3 linked regions of the Drosophila melanogaster genome follow. The protein of the gene in region 1 interacts with the protein of each later gene in a pairwise test. Each region holds a gene or a part of one and is shown in the gene's direction. Other genes may lie near its edges.

Region 1 (4,751 bases):
ATTTTTTAGCTGATTTTTTAATAGCATTTTAGATAATATACAATAGGTTTATAAACTATTTACAAGCACAACCACTGGTTGGGGAAAATTCTGTACCTATCCTGCACTATTTTTATCTATAGTTTTTTTTTTCAAGACGATTTACTGCCTTGCTATAACTAGAGTTTCTACTTTTTCCGCGCCAAAGTGGAGGAGCCTGTACCGATGACCCGTGGATTTATCGCGATGGCATCGGGCACTGATCCGTGCTCGGTTTCTACGGCACGGAGCACGCGTGGCAGTGGATTTCGATTGTGAAGGGCGTGCGTGAGATTTCGGATCCCGAACTTACCGTTACTGCTGCTGGAGTGGAGACATCGGTGCCGTAGCAGGGATCCGGTTCCAGTTTTGCCGCTGTAGGATAACAGATCGCCACAGGTTTTGCAGCAGGCGTACGGCTCTATGTGGTCGTCGCACTGGACGAGATTGAAAAACCTCCAGACGCAGCTTTTGGTGTTCCTGGGCTCAACGAGTTTGCAACGCTTGTCCCCGGATTTTAGTAGGCTACGAAGCTCTGATTTCTTTTCAACATGCATCGTGGTGTATCGGTTGTTCGATTTGCGGTGGTAATTCGGTTTGCCAAGAAGAAAACAAACCCAAATTACAAAATGTACACAAATACAAACTCACGAAAATTCAGTCACGCACAAAACTGTGTTGGTAAACAAGCGCTAGCACGGTGCGAAAAGTGTAAGGTGGTGTAAACAGCCACTGATTTTCTTAAAAAGAACTTGATTGTAAGTTTAATTTTTTTTGAATTTTATTTGTTTCTTATGTTTTTTGAATATTTTCTTTTAGTTTAAAACCTAAAATTCTCATATGACTAGCGATTCCGATTACCCATAGTAAACAGTCTATCGATAAACTCAATTGAGTTGACTATTGTATATTGAATCAGTAGAATCTTTTTATTTAAATGGGTAAAGTTTCGATGGCTTTCCTACAGCCAGGACAATATCAAGGCCCAATTGAACGCCGGAGTCCGGCAATTCAACAAGAAGCGCAGTCGCGGCAAAGTCTGGAATGTCTTCTCCAGAATCGAGCTTGGTCAAATAACATGGATGCACTTCACACATGGAGCGGCACAAGTGCTACAGAACCTATGTCATATATCCAACATCAGAGGATGAAGAGGATTCCCACTGGAATCCGGACGTTTCCAGTGCGGACAAGGCTACAGATAAGATAACCGAGGCCCTGATGGATTGGTGCGTCGTGGTTAGTGCGCGGGACATCGAAACGCACTACGATTTCTTCTTGGTCTTTGTCGCCTTGGACAGCCAGGAGGATAAGATTATCAAAGAAATTCAAGGCTACCAGGCAATACAGATGCCTGCATGTGGATTAGCTGCACCGAAAGATGTTGCCCAACCAATATGAATAAAAGAATCGATTCTTAGCTCTAGCTTACCAAATTGTAGGTTTTCCTAGAATTCCTGTTAATTTAAAACTATTAATGATCCACAATGTCGATACACAAAAAAATTTGAAAAATTAAAATTTTGAATAAAGAAAACAATACGAACATTTAAAGTTTTGTCAATATTACCGTTTTCAAGAAATCCGCCATAAATTAAAACCCCAGAGTTGCAAATTCAAAAAGCTAATATTTTCGTTATATGCATTTATATACGTTGGTATTTTATGTGGAGTTTTAGAGTTGGCACAGAGAGTATATTTATCGGATTGCTCCACGGTCACACTGTCTCTTAATTTTTTCGCCGTCGCCGTCGTTTGTTTTTGGAAATGTCAATTGTTGTGAATATATCTGCTTAATTGTAAAAAAACGCCCAATCGGAAAAAGCACAAATATACGCAAAAAAATTTGCGAACAAGCAGCAAAAGTAAATGTCATTTAAAACAGTGCAAAATTAATACAAAGAAAAATGCTACATTTTGTTGCGTCTGCTCCTGCTTTGTGTGTGTGTGTGTTTTTGTGTATGTGTGCGCGTTGTTAAATAAATGAATTAAAAGACAGAGTTACACATTTTAAATGCGAAATAATGAAAAACGAGCTCATCCAGTGCTCTCTCTTTCTCGCCCTCTCATTTTTACTGTTACTAAAAAGAAGTACTCCAATTCACGCACATGCATACATACGTAAGCCCAGTGAAAAGCGAAAACAATAAGAAGAAAATATAGTTGGAAATCCGCTGCGGTTGGCAATTAAACATATCGGTTGGGAAAATCGGTGAAAAATTATAGCTGTGCTGCAGTATGTATAGGCGTATGTAAATATGAAATATGTAAAGGCAGCAACAGCAAGCAGAGCAGCATATACACACATGGAGAAATCGCCCAAAAAACTTTCTGCGCAAGCTGCGGAGAGCGCGTGCGAGAGGGAGATAGAGTGACGGAGAGTGCGAGAGCGAGCGCGATTGATTCGTTGGTGCAAATTTTATGTTAATAAAAAAGTAGTGCTCGCAGCAAATGGTAGTTCAAAAAAGCTAAATAAATAAGAAAACTAACTATATAGTTTACAATTCCGAATAGTCAGTGTTTGAAACGCGTAGAGAATACCGAGTTGAGCCTCTCCTTCTCTCAATTTTCATCTGTTACATCTTTTGTTGCTTGGAAAAATCCGTGTATGTACGCGTTAGTGTGTGTGCGCGAAGTTTTCCACTGTGTTTGTCTACACGCCCACATGAAAAGCGCCGTGTTTGTGTATTTGGGGAAAAGTAAAAGTGATTCTCGATTTATAAACGCGAAACCCGAAATTAATTATTCACCTTCGCCCACCTTCAATTTTAGTGAATGAATAGAACCCCCCCAACTCTTTGCAAAGCCCCGCCCCCAAAATTGTGCCAAAACGCAAGAGACGCAGAGAAACGAAAAGAGGAAGAGTACTGGAGATCGGCGAGATATTGCAAGTCGGATAACAACAGCAAAAACAACTACGTGGGATTGGATCGCCTAAGCAACTATTTGACTATCTTCTGGTGTTGTTGTTGTCGCTCGATTACACTTTTTTCGTTGAAAACGTTTGTGCAGCAGCAGCTCTGAATGTCTTTATGCTTTAATCATGGTGTATTTCGCCACCAACAACAACAACACCGACACTACACGCTGCTATATTAGAATCTTTCTGATAACGAACCATGACAGAAGGACATGAAAGGTGAGTTCCTCGCAATTACAACAACTTCAAATAGATTGATAGATCTGTAGATCTTGGTGAAGGAGATACAAATATTTACAGGATAGAATTCTTTATTATCTGGACCAAAATAGGGTCTCAGTTTCTATCTATAATAATATTATAAATAATATAAATAAGTGTGGTTAAAAGTGTCTTTAAAACTTAAAATATTATCAAGGATTTAAAGAGCTTTAAATTGAATTCAGATAGTTGTGACTCGCGCGTTAAAAAGAGAAAGCTAACTAGCATACAAATTTTAGATTACTGTATTTTTAAAAAAAACTTAACGTCATATCCCGGATATCATGTATCATACATACTTGATAAAAAAATTTGCAGAAATTTTTAAAATTGCTATCATGGTTGGCTAACACAAGTCTTAAATTTTTAGAGTCTGTTGAAAGTTATTAATCATATTAAGTTTTTTAATTTATTTATCTATTTTCTAGGAATTTAAATTATTTAAAAAAAATATTAAGACGTTCTGTGGCTTTAAGTATTTAAAAATAGCTTGTGTGTTCTTTTACACATTTGAATTAAGTAGGCAACTAGTGACGAAGCGCGCCACTTCAGCTGGCTTGCACTCATTTCTGGGTCTTTTGCGCATTTCATGTGCTGCAATTATTTGGCGTGCCTCGATTAATTGGCATCAATTGAAAGCCGATTGTTGGAAGTCAATTTCAATTTGCGAAGCGCTTTTAAATTGAGTCGACGGGCTCTTTTCCTCAATGGACAGCCAACCGACAGTCGTCGAATGAATGAAGGAAGCGTGACTCATTTGTCTGGGCGAACTGAAGTCTCCGCATTGTCTGTCGACACTTTTAATGAATGAAATGGAACGCCCCCATGTGTGGTTTCTTTTTCCGTTCGCCTCTGGGCCCAATAATTGCCGTTGTTACGACTACTCACGTATTATTGCCTCGCGCCACTGGCGCTCTTTAAATTCTATTCGAAAATGATGTCAATTTGTGTTTGTCCGTTGTTCGTTGTTTGTTTCGTCCGCGGTTCGTTTATTTCTTTTGGCAAATGCCTGCGCAACAAGAACAAAAAGGGGCATGGGGGGGGGGGTCACCCAAGGTTTCAATAGTTTCATTCATGTCTTGCTCTTTATTCCGTCCTCATAATGAATTGATATGCGGCATGCCCCCGCACACAAAGTCGCTTAATGGGTGCCCACAACTAGTCCGATGTGCGAAAACTAGCAGGGAGATCAATGATATCAGCGATTTGACCTCCATATAATCAATTTAATTCCAACGAGCTTACGAACGATTGGAGATCTTAGAATAACTTTAAATATATATTTTAAGAGTGTTTTTGTTCTAGAAAGGTAACTCACATCCACCACTTTTTACCTTTGATGGTTAAACTTTCCCATTAACAATCGCTCAATTTTCAAAAACAGGCTTACGTTTTGCAATAATAATATTTTTCTGATTTTATACATTTTAAATGGCCTGCATGAAATATTTACAAAGTATATTTCATTGCTGTGCAGATCTTGAGATCGCAAATATTTTTTTACTTATATATGCAGAACGTCGCCATAAAGTAGGCAACTATATTTTGTAAA
Region 2 (6,398 bases), on another chromosome or scaffold:
GCAGACACACAGACACAGCTCGCTCTCGCTTTTTGTCTTCCGTCGGGTTATCTCGCTGCTGGCGACTCTGGGCGCCTGTTCCGTTATATCGCGTAGAGGGACCTGCCTCAATGTTGCGCGTCAATTTTAGGGAGCCTACACCATAAAAATCGGTGACGGTTGGCCACTTTTTTTGTGGCCCGGCACGTCCCACTTTTTTTTCATCTTGGCCTTCTCGACAGGCCGTTGAGTGGAGTTGGGCGCTCCAAAAGCGCCTGCGCGGAGTGCGCGACGCCTCGCTTTGCAGCTTTGTCGCTCGGCCGCCATTTGCGATTCCCGCTGCTGGTGTCGCCAAATATGAAGCAAGCAGAATGCGGCGCAAGCAGTACGGATATGTTTGTGGATGCTGCTTAGGTGTCTGCAACTTGCCCTTGACAGTTGACTTTAACCCGCTGAGTGCTGTGCGAAGGCAATCCCAATCTTACCTTGTGAATGCAATTAGCAAGGTTCTAAGTTCTAAGTTAAAATGTTTGTAAATTACTTTTTAAGAAATGTGAACAAGTACTACAATGTGTATTTTTGGTGACACATTAACTTTTATTGCATTAAGCATTATCAGGAATAGTGCTTAGAAGTGCCTAAAAGTATGCCCACTTTGTTCTTAGTTGGGAACTGAACTAAGTAAACGTTTTCATTTTCAGTTTCCGATTATATCGAAACTGTAGTAATTTATTAGCCTAAAACGAAGACCTAGTGTTAGGCTTTCTAATATCCCAACTTATAAATATTATTTACATACATATGTACATATGTACATTGTATTTTCATATGTTCAGTGGAGAGATCGAGAGATGCGCTTCTCAAATTCCATTTTTTCCGTTATACCCCGTCTTTCACTGTCCGCCTCCACTATCTCTATCTCTCCGCATTTTCTCTTCTCTGTCCGCCGCACACACTCTCGTTGGCGTCTGTCTGCTGTCATCAGTTGCTGATTACTTGTTCACCAAACCGCAGTTTAGCGCTGGCAATGCCGGCGGCAGCAGACGTAACGACGACGACGGTCGCGTCTGATAGACAGCTGTCTCCAATTGGAATGTTGTCTCCGGTTACGTCAGTCAAAATGACGCATCGTGTTTTGGTAACAGGAAAGCATAAAAGCGAGAAGAGCACCAATGTGCGGCACTCTGCTGCACAATGGCCGCGAAACAAAAGAACAAGGCACGAAGAAAATGTGTAAACCGTTGTGGGGGACGAAGAAAAAGCAGGCACAGACGCTGCGCCGCGTCACGACAACAAAAAAATCCACCCTCGCACAAAGCGCTAATATTTTGTTGGTTTTTCGTTTCGCTTTCAATTAGGCAGAGTGCAGTGTCTGGGCCAAATCTCAAAGGTAAGAGGAAGTGCACAACTTTCAGTGAAGCCAATCTAGGCAAACAAAAAGCCAAACTGTCCGTTTCGATATTTCACTAGAGCGGTATTATGGTTAAAACTATGTTAAAATAGTTCTATACTTAAATCGTAAATCAGTAAAATTTAGATTAGTCAATTTTCGTATAGTAACAATATCAATAATTTTATTGTTTTTAACATTTGGAATATCTTATAAATATGTATATGTATTATCATGTCTATGAATATATTCAGTTCTAACCAGTAAAATATTTGATTACTCCTTACACGTAGACGTAAAGTAATTTAGTATTTTGTTTTAAGTTTCTGTGCCTTTTGTCGGAAGTTCTAGCTAGTTAATTCGCGCATCACTGCCAGCGACGCTAACGCCAACGCGAACGGTTCTTGCCGCCGCTTTCACACAGACGAAAAAGCGCAGTGTGCGTTGGCCAACGCTGTGCGCCTGCTGTTCTGCGGACAAAATTTGAGCAGATCCGCTCACAAAAAAACGTACTTAACTGCGAAATAGTGCTGGTCGTGTAGGTTCCACGTTCCAACCGACTGCAGTGCTTTGGCTCCATGGCACCACGGCTAAATGGCCAAATGGCTCCACTGCTCCGGTGGCTCCAACTGCGGTGGTGCCCATTCCAGTTGGAAATTGCATGCGAGCACATGGGAAAAGTCCCCAACTGGTATTTCGAGCAGGCGCACAGCTTTCCCAACTGCTCACTCTCCCAAAGAGTTCCGTCTCTGTCTCGTTCGCACCGATAAGGAGCCTTTCGAGATAAGCAGCTGGAAAGGGACGGACTGATGGTAGCGGCAAAGCGCAGTGTGCAACGACAGAAAGGGATGCCCAATGATGGTCTAATCGGAGGGGGAATCGCTGATCGCTGATAGTACTGGAATCTGGTTGATATAACCCCAATATTATGTTAAAGAGTGAACTACATTTTTAACTGAGATTTTAGTGAGTTTCCGGCCTTTAAGGGGTGTATTTTTACGATAATAAAAGTTTGTTAGATCGCATATTGTTTTAAATATTTCATATATGTTATTTTATTTTAACGAATTTATACAATTGACTTCAAAAATATCTGTGCACCATTCCATAAAATGTAAACCGAATTAATATGTTGAAAATTACTCTCGTATTAACTCTTTTTTGGGAATTGATAATTCATTTGCGATACGATATGAGTTCTATATAAGGCTTAAGCTTTGGGGCCAATACTTCAGTCGTGCGGCAAACGCAAAGCTGAAAAGTATTCTAGTTCTATAGATCTCACGGTAAGAGAAAGTATAAAGTCTAAATAAGAGAACATAAAAATGAAATCGGATTGCGAGCTTTTATTGCATAGCCAATGGAAAAAAGTTTTAGTTAAATTTTCACGTCGGGTGCGTTTGGAGGCAGAGTGTAGCATAGTGTAAAGAACAAATTAATAATAATATAATAAAGTAGTTCTCTTGTGACATTTGGTGTCGTAAACAGTTTGGTTAAGAGAGTTTTTAAGAGTGACGGTTTGTTCTTTGGTGACATTGAGTGTAATTAATATCAAAATATTACTGTGGGTTTTTCCATTCCCTCCCACAAACAAACAAACAATGCTAAAAAACCATCAAATTGTCAAAAGTGTTGAGTGGAATGAGTCGTGGAAAAATGATTAGATGCGAACATATCTGAAAGTTTTTGCTCGCGGAATTTCGCCATAAAAATCTCGTGCGTCTGTGCGGAGATAGCGACCGTATAACCGCGAAATTTAAGTACTTTAAAAAACATGGGAGATAGATGTATTTTAGCTACTCGAAATTATTGACCGCAGTATATAATCGTATTTCCACTGAAATAATTGTCTCTGTTTTTTAGCCAAAATAATTGGCTCTTAGTCTTTGATAAATTCATCTATGTTTCGTAATTTTTTCATTACGCTCCACATGTTAAGTAAAATTAAACTTAATTTTAGAATGTTTATTTTTGCCAAATGTTATTGTTATTAACCCAGAAATAATCTTGCACCGTTCCTGATTATTGAATCCACTTCGATAAAACTCCAATATTATACCTTAGTTCTCGAACCAGCAAACCAGTTGTGCGTCTTATACATACGCCGTAGGAGAGACTGAGACTCACATCAGCTGCTCGGCGGCTTGAACGCCTACAGACATACATACATACGTACATACATATATAGGGAGAGATTTAGAGCGCGGATTATAATGCTAAACAGGTTCATTGGTTTATCGGCTGCGATCGTGGGTCGGAGCAGTCGGATCAGCGGCTTTCCGTTCTCGCCGCTCCTTAAAGCTGGGTGCGTATGCCGCTTGAGAGTTCAGTCGCTCGCGAAACACGACTTCGATCGCAATACTTCGAGATGAGATCGATTGCCACCAACTCCCTGCTGCCACTGATTGTGGCCTTGCTGATCGCCGGTAGTAATGCCTCCCTCCCACGCAGGGGCAGCAGAAATCAAAGCCAGAATCGCACCATGTCCGCTGGCAAGGCTTTCAAGGTCCTGGTGACACATCCCGAGGTTCCCCAGGAGGGCATTGATCTGCTGAAGGAGAACTGCGAGATCGTCCAGGTGCAGAGTGTTCCCATCAACCGGGCGGAGCTGCTGGAGAAAATCCGTGGCGTGGATGGCGTTCTCTGGGGTGGACACGAACCCCTCAATGCCGAGGCCCTCGATGCTGCCGGTCCCCAGCTGAAATCCATCTCCACCATGTCGGCGGGAATCGACTACGTCGATGTGCCGGAGGTAAAGAGACGTAAGATCCCGCTGGGACACACGCCCACCGTTCTCAACACCGCCGTGGCCGATTTGGCAGTGGGTCTCCTGATCGCCGCCAGTCGCCGTTTTCACGAGGGTCGCAAGACCATCGACAAGTGAGTACCACTAGTTGGTTAGTTGTGTTTGTGATGATTCATATACTTACAGAATTAATTTGAGCAATGACAAAAATAGAGTAAACCGAAATTATAATTGTCATAATTATTATTATAATTAAGCTAAACTAGGGACACTTTATTTTCAACTTAGTGTGGCCGTGAAATGTATACGCATGAATTCTCGATTAAAATTGCAAGCCGGTTCTTAAGAATACCGCCTGTCCGCTCGTCTGTCGCTTGCACTTTTGCTCTATAGCGCTCACAAGTGGACAAAGCATTATCATCAATAGGTTTTGGCTCCTCACATGCATAATGTAAAATTCTAAAGTATTGACTTTCGATTTATCTACAAACAAAAGGTACGAGCAGTTTATGTAACCGCCGCTAGGTGGCGGTGCAATAAAAAAAAGTTTTTTTTATCTTCATCTTAGCTTAGTAACAGGCATTTATCAGTATCTCGAGTATCTACAAGTATATTATATATTTTGGAAATATTCATATATCTTTCAATTTCTTAATTTGTATCTTTTGCGTTCTAAAAGTGACAAGTGGGAAAACTACCATCTTAACTGGCTGTTGGGCCAGGATATTCGTGATTCCACCGTGGGATTCTACGGCTTTGGAGGCATTGGTCAGGCTATTGCCAAGCGTTTGTCTGGATTCGACATTGACAAGGTGCTGTACACCACCCGTCGTCGTGTTCACAAGGAGATCGAGGAGGAGTTCAATGCCAAGAAAGTTGACTTCGATACCCTTCTGGCCGAGAGTGACTTCGTAGTGATCGCTTCTCCTTTGACGAAGGACACACAGGGCGTCTTTAATGCCACCGCCTTCAACAAGATGAAGCAGACTGCTGTGCTGGTTAACATTGCCAGGGGCAGTAAGTTACCAGTATTAATTGGGATTCTCGACCGATTTTAACTATTTATTTTATTCCTCAGAAATCGTCAACCAGGATGACCTCTACGAGGCTTTGAAAGCCAACCGAATCTTTTCCGCCGGACTCGACGTCACGGATCCGGAACCATTGTCGCCCAAGGACAAGCTGCTGACGCTTGACAATGTTGGTGAGTGGGAAAATGAAAATAATGTTGTAGTTTATTGATATCAGTCCTCAGGCCCACACCTAGCAAATACTCGTATTTCTGGCCCCTTATCAATATAAAGATTTTGACTTATCTCTTCAGTGGTTGACAATGACTAAAAGTATTTTGAAATTAATGGAATCTTTAAGGTTTCTTGAAGGTTACAAATAAATAGGGTAACGTTTATTCTTTCCATGTTTTATCTAATTTCTGCGTCCTTGTTGACCTCTATAATTCCCTTCTTTTGTTGATTTATTAAAACATTGTTATCTTGGTTTGTGTAATCGTATCTTGAACTAACCACTTGATGTGTTCTTTTAGTTGTCCTGCCCCATATTGGATCCGCCACGAAGCGCACCCGTGCCGACATGTCCACCATTGCTGCCCATAATGTGCTCCGCGGTTTGGCTGGGGAGCCCATGTTGTCGCCCGCCTACTAGTAAATTCAAATGGGAAATATGGCTTTCTACCGCTAACCAGTTTGGAATGTCCGCCAAACAAAGTGCGAAAGGCCGCCGATGACCTTGGCATGCCAGTAGATGTGAAAATAAAAAAAACAATTAAAAAACAAGTATTTGCTGTTGCAAATTTATTAAATTAAATATGTGGGAATCTAATCTATACCGTAAGATTAGCTCAACTGATTAATATGGAATAGGTAAAGCAATAGAATAATTGGTGCTAGAGAATGAGAAACATAATTTAAATACTAATATAGTATATCGTAGGAAATAATATTGTACGTTTTAAGAAATGAGAGCAGAAAACATTGATTTAGTAATTCGCAAAGTTTAGCTCTGCACAATTGCAAAACCTACCACTTTTCCCCAAAATGTATCGAGGACCTTCAAACTGCTGATTTCGCATCCAAAAGTCCCAGGAACGGCTGCGGGAGCTTGTCGGATCAGGATCGGAATAGGATCATCGCTTCTTAAAACTGGGTGCTTATGCCGCTTGAGAGTTCGCTCGCGAAACCCGACTTCGGTTGTAGTTTTTCAACCTGCTCCCACTGATTATGGCTTTGCTGATCGAATATAATAATTGAAGGCCCCTGGGCATGG
Region 3 (3,691 bases), 8.9 Mb from region 1:
GTTGAAGTTGGCATAGTAGGTGCTGCTATCCAGCTCCCCATCCGTCTGATTCGATTGGTCCCTTGAGAGATTGAGGCTCTGAGCCAGGCGTTGCTTCTCCGCCAGAAAGAAGTCTTTTCCCTTGCGGTACGAACGACGAAGGGCATTCTTCAGTAGGCGGTAGCGAGCGAGAGCGCTGACTGACATCAGCTGGCTGTCACTGGGATTGGGCATCGTCTGCATCAGCTCACCCAAACTGCTGCTGTTGTGCAGGACAGTGGGATCCACTGCCTGCGAGGCCTGCGCCTGCTGTGGCGTTGTGGGGCAACTGATGCTCAGATTGTTACCAAAATGGCGCAGCGACGTGGCTTGGCCATCATTAATTTCTATGGTCAAATTGGAAGCGGGCTGAAAGATCAATCATTACTCAGTTTCAACAACAATCTTATATTTGAAGTGCGTTTCAGAAAGCGATGGATGAGTACAGTGTGGTAGTGGCTATTTACAGAATGTACAGTGTCAGAAATCAGATGCAAGCGGAAGCCTTAAGCTTTAGTGGGAGTCAACAAAAATCTCTACCTTGGTTGTAAAGCGCTGGCTCTGCTTCTTTTTCGGCGTACTCTGGTTGGCCGGCTCAGGTTCAATTTGCCCGGAGCCGTAATCGTTGGTCACGAAGGAGCTGCCGGCGCTGCCCGCTCCAACCAAACTGTAATCTGCGTAGAGCTGCTCGGGCATGTCATACGAAACGGAATCCATATTGGAAGTATTCTGTAATGGGCTTTGGCTTAGAAATGTGACAAATTGTAAAAACTGCAATGGCACTTACATTGGGCACCTTTTCTGGGCGATCCAACACCAGTTCACTGCGGCAGAGATTGTCCAAGAAGATCTCGCTGCGCTGCAGAGAGAGTTCTGAACGAGAAAGATTCCGGTTCTGCTTGGGCGGCGAATGCTGCTCACTGATATTGTTCAAGGATTGGTGGGCATGTGGCGAAGGCAACTTTAACTTCGGCTGGCGAATCACAGAGGACTCAGTGGTCTGACTAGCTGAGCACGAGGATTCCGTTCCACTCGGCTCCTCGGGCAGAGGCATGAACTGGAAGAAGTTGCCGTTCTTCAGGGATTCGTGGAGAAAGTGACCCAAAGCTACAGGCTGCTGAGGAGCAGTTGATTGTGGTGAAACCATCTGGGTGCTTAGCTGCGCTGGATTCGACTGGGTGCAGCTTTTAGGTTGTACCGCCTGATCAAGAACAATATGTGTTGTTATAGGCGGCGAAAAGGAATGAGTACTTTTCTGTGGCTGAATAGCTTGGAAACTAATCTGAGGCTTATCCACTGGCTTCATTTGCGGTGAGTTCTTCGGCGTCTTTTGCACCCTGGCGTACATGGCACTGATGTCATCGCGCGAGGTCGACGGAGCAGGCACAGACCCACTCACATACGCGGTGGAGCTTTCCGTAGGAGTCGGCGTGTGGTCTATAATCTGTGCCGCGGTCCTAACCTCGTGGTGGGGACTCCCTCTAATCCGCAGGCAGTCTTCCTCAATCTCCGAGTAAATGGGCTCGCTGTCGAAATCGCGCTGTTGCCGTGTGGTGGCCAACGATGTGGTTGCACCACTGCTGGGTCCGTCTGTGCAGTCGTAGCTCTCGGTTTGAAGATGGCTGATCTGAGGCTCATGGCGGTCAAAGCGGGAGCAGTCCTGCAATCGATTGAAATTATACTCTTATTATTGAAATACAAACCATATTAACGATATATTTATAAAAGAAGAGCCTTATTACTTGGATCAATAAACCAATGATTAACTAAATCTATTTGACCAGAAAGTTAGTAAGAACGAATCTTGCAATGCTACTTCGAGATACACTTTTTTAAATTTCGATAGACCGAGTACCGCCCCGTTATCGATATCAGCTGCAATGCAGCCCAGCGAAGGAAGGCGCAAAACAAGAAGTGAAAACAGCTGACAGCAGCAGATTTCTTTCCTCCACTCGGAAATTCAGACGCCATCCAAAAACACTAAAGAAACAAGAGGCTTTCAAGGGGACCAGGAGCTCGGGCTTATGGGGAGGCGCACCTGGTGAGATGTACAGGTCTCTGCTGCACAACGTTTCACTCAAGGCGACATCAAGGATTATCAGGCGCAGCGTGAGCAGCCAGGCAAAAGGAGCCAGCGGAAAGCGCAAACAAAAAGCGAAGGAGATGGAGTCGAGCCACGATCGGAATAGACGCTGGACGTCATTGGGGAATCAGGCTGAGGGTCGAGACCCGCACAAGTGCTCCTCCTTCAAGGTTGTCTCATATAACATCCTGGCCCAGGATCTGCTTCTGGAGCACCTCTTCCTGTACGTGGGAATCCCGCATGAGTTCCTCAGCTGGCAACGCCGCCAGCAGAACCTTCTCAGGGAACTGCTCAAACTGGATCCGGACATACTGTGCCTGCAGGAGATGCAGTTCGACCACCTTCCAGTGCTCGTCCAACGACTGCGTATGGGCAACGGCAAGAAGTTGGCTTATGTGTACAAAAAGAAGACCGGCTGTCGAACGGACGGATGCGCTATTGTCTACGACTCCTCAAAGTTTGAGTTGCTAGACCACCAAGCAGTGGAGCTGTACGACCAGGCGGTGGCTCTACTCAATCGCGACAATGTGGCCTTGTTTGCCAGGTTCCGATTCAAAAAGCAGCAGGAGCAGCAGAAGGAATTCGTGGTCGCCACCACGCACTTGCTGTTCAACACGAAACGGAGCGATGTCCGTTGCGCCCAGGTGGAAAGAATTTTGGAGGAGCTGCAGTCGTTCTCCACCGACACACCTATCGTCCTGACTGGTGACTTTAACAGTCTGCCCGACTCCTCGCCTATTGAATTCCTCGTTGGCAAGAATGGGGATGTGGATTCCACAGCTTGCCCAGAACCCCTGCATTTCGAGATCATCGATTCGGGCGAAGGTACTGCCTCCACATACCAGAACGAATGGGTTATCGTGGACTACATCCTGCGCTCGCTAGGATCGCGGAGCAGGCACAAGCTCTTGCCTCTCAGCGTCTACTCACTGCCCTCAATCAACCGGTGCATCGGGGCGGGACAGATCCCCAATTACCGTCTGGGGTCGGATCACTACGCCTTGGGTGCAGTATTCACCGTTGTCTAGTATTTAATCTCTTCATGCTTTCTTGGACTCATCAATAAAGGTACGAAATGAACATGCCCACTTATTATAAAGTAAAAGATTAAGGGAAGGGACTCACCTGAAAGGTTCTAACTGCGTGCTCATCGCTAGCCTCCAGCTTGGCCCTGATGCTGCTGAGCAGATAGCCCATTTTAGTGATGGTGACGTCCTGGTCGAGATCCTTGTGATACGAGCGATAGGTGGTGGGTGATGTTGCTGCTGCTTGAAAGTCCAGCTTGCGGGCTCTGTTTGCACGGGGCAGCTTCTTCGGAGGCGTCGGTGCCTTCACCTTGCGTTCGAAATCGAAGTACGGCTGCTCTGTGTCCAGCTGTTGGCGGGTGGATGTGGTCGTACCCGAGGGCGTGGTCTGCATGGGGGAGTGGTAGCTTCCCGGCGGAGACTGTGACTGCAGGTCCAGCTGCGAGGTAGATGTCTGTACGCCAATGGTGCACTGCTGGGGAGTGAATCTGTGCTGATCCAGCTGCGTGTGCACCTCCTGATTAGACTTCTTCGGCGAGACGAAGCGCAGGATCTTCTTTTTGGA

What was found. The genes of interacting proteins can lie anywhere in the genome.
Region 2: the proteins of Spred (region 1) and CG9331 interact in a two-hybrid assay, tested with the Drosophila melanogaster proteins (one large-scale study listed by BioGRID).
Region 3: the proteins of Spred (region 1) and angel interact in a two-hybrid assay, tested with the Drosophila melanogaster proteins (one large-scale study listed by BioGRID).

The regions. Positions count from the first base shown.
Region 1 is NT_033778.4:14,766,410-14,771,160, reverse strand, and holds the start of Spred (Sprouty-related protein with EVH-1 domain), read left to right. Parts: upstream 1-1,737; 5' UTR 1,738-1,883; intron 1,884-2,790; 5' UTR 2,791-3,137; coding exon 3,138-3,157; intron 3,158-4,751. Other genes in the region: BEAF-32 (boundary element-associated factor of 32kD), read right to left, coding at 332-575.
Region 2 is NT_033779.5:20,821,839-20,828,236, forward strand, and holds CG9331 (uncharacterized protein), read left to right. Parts: upstream 1-1,803; 5' UTR 1,804-2,277; intron 2,278-2,595; exon of another isoform or gene 2,596-2,886; intron 2,887-3,433; 5' UTR 3,434-3,582; coding exon 3,583-3,674; exon of another isoform or gene 3,675-3,737; coding exon of another isoform or gene 3,738-3,829; coding exon 3,830-4,249; intron 4,250-4,794; coding exon 4,795-5,132; intron 5,133-5,193; coding exon 5,194-5,319; intron 5,320-5,658; coding exon 5,659-5,777; 3' UTR 5,778-5,886; downstream 5,887-6,398.
Region 3 is NT_033778.4:23,692,054-23,695,744, forward strand, and holds angel (angel), read left to right. Parts: upstream 1-1,949; 5' UTR 1,950-2,064; coding exon 2,065-3,129; 3' UTR 3,130-3,179; downstream 3,180-3,691. Other genes in the region: CG30183 (uncharacterized protein), read right to left, coding at 1-387, 559-747, 806-1,678, 3,227-3,691.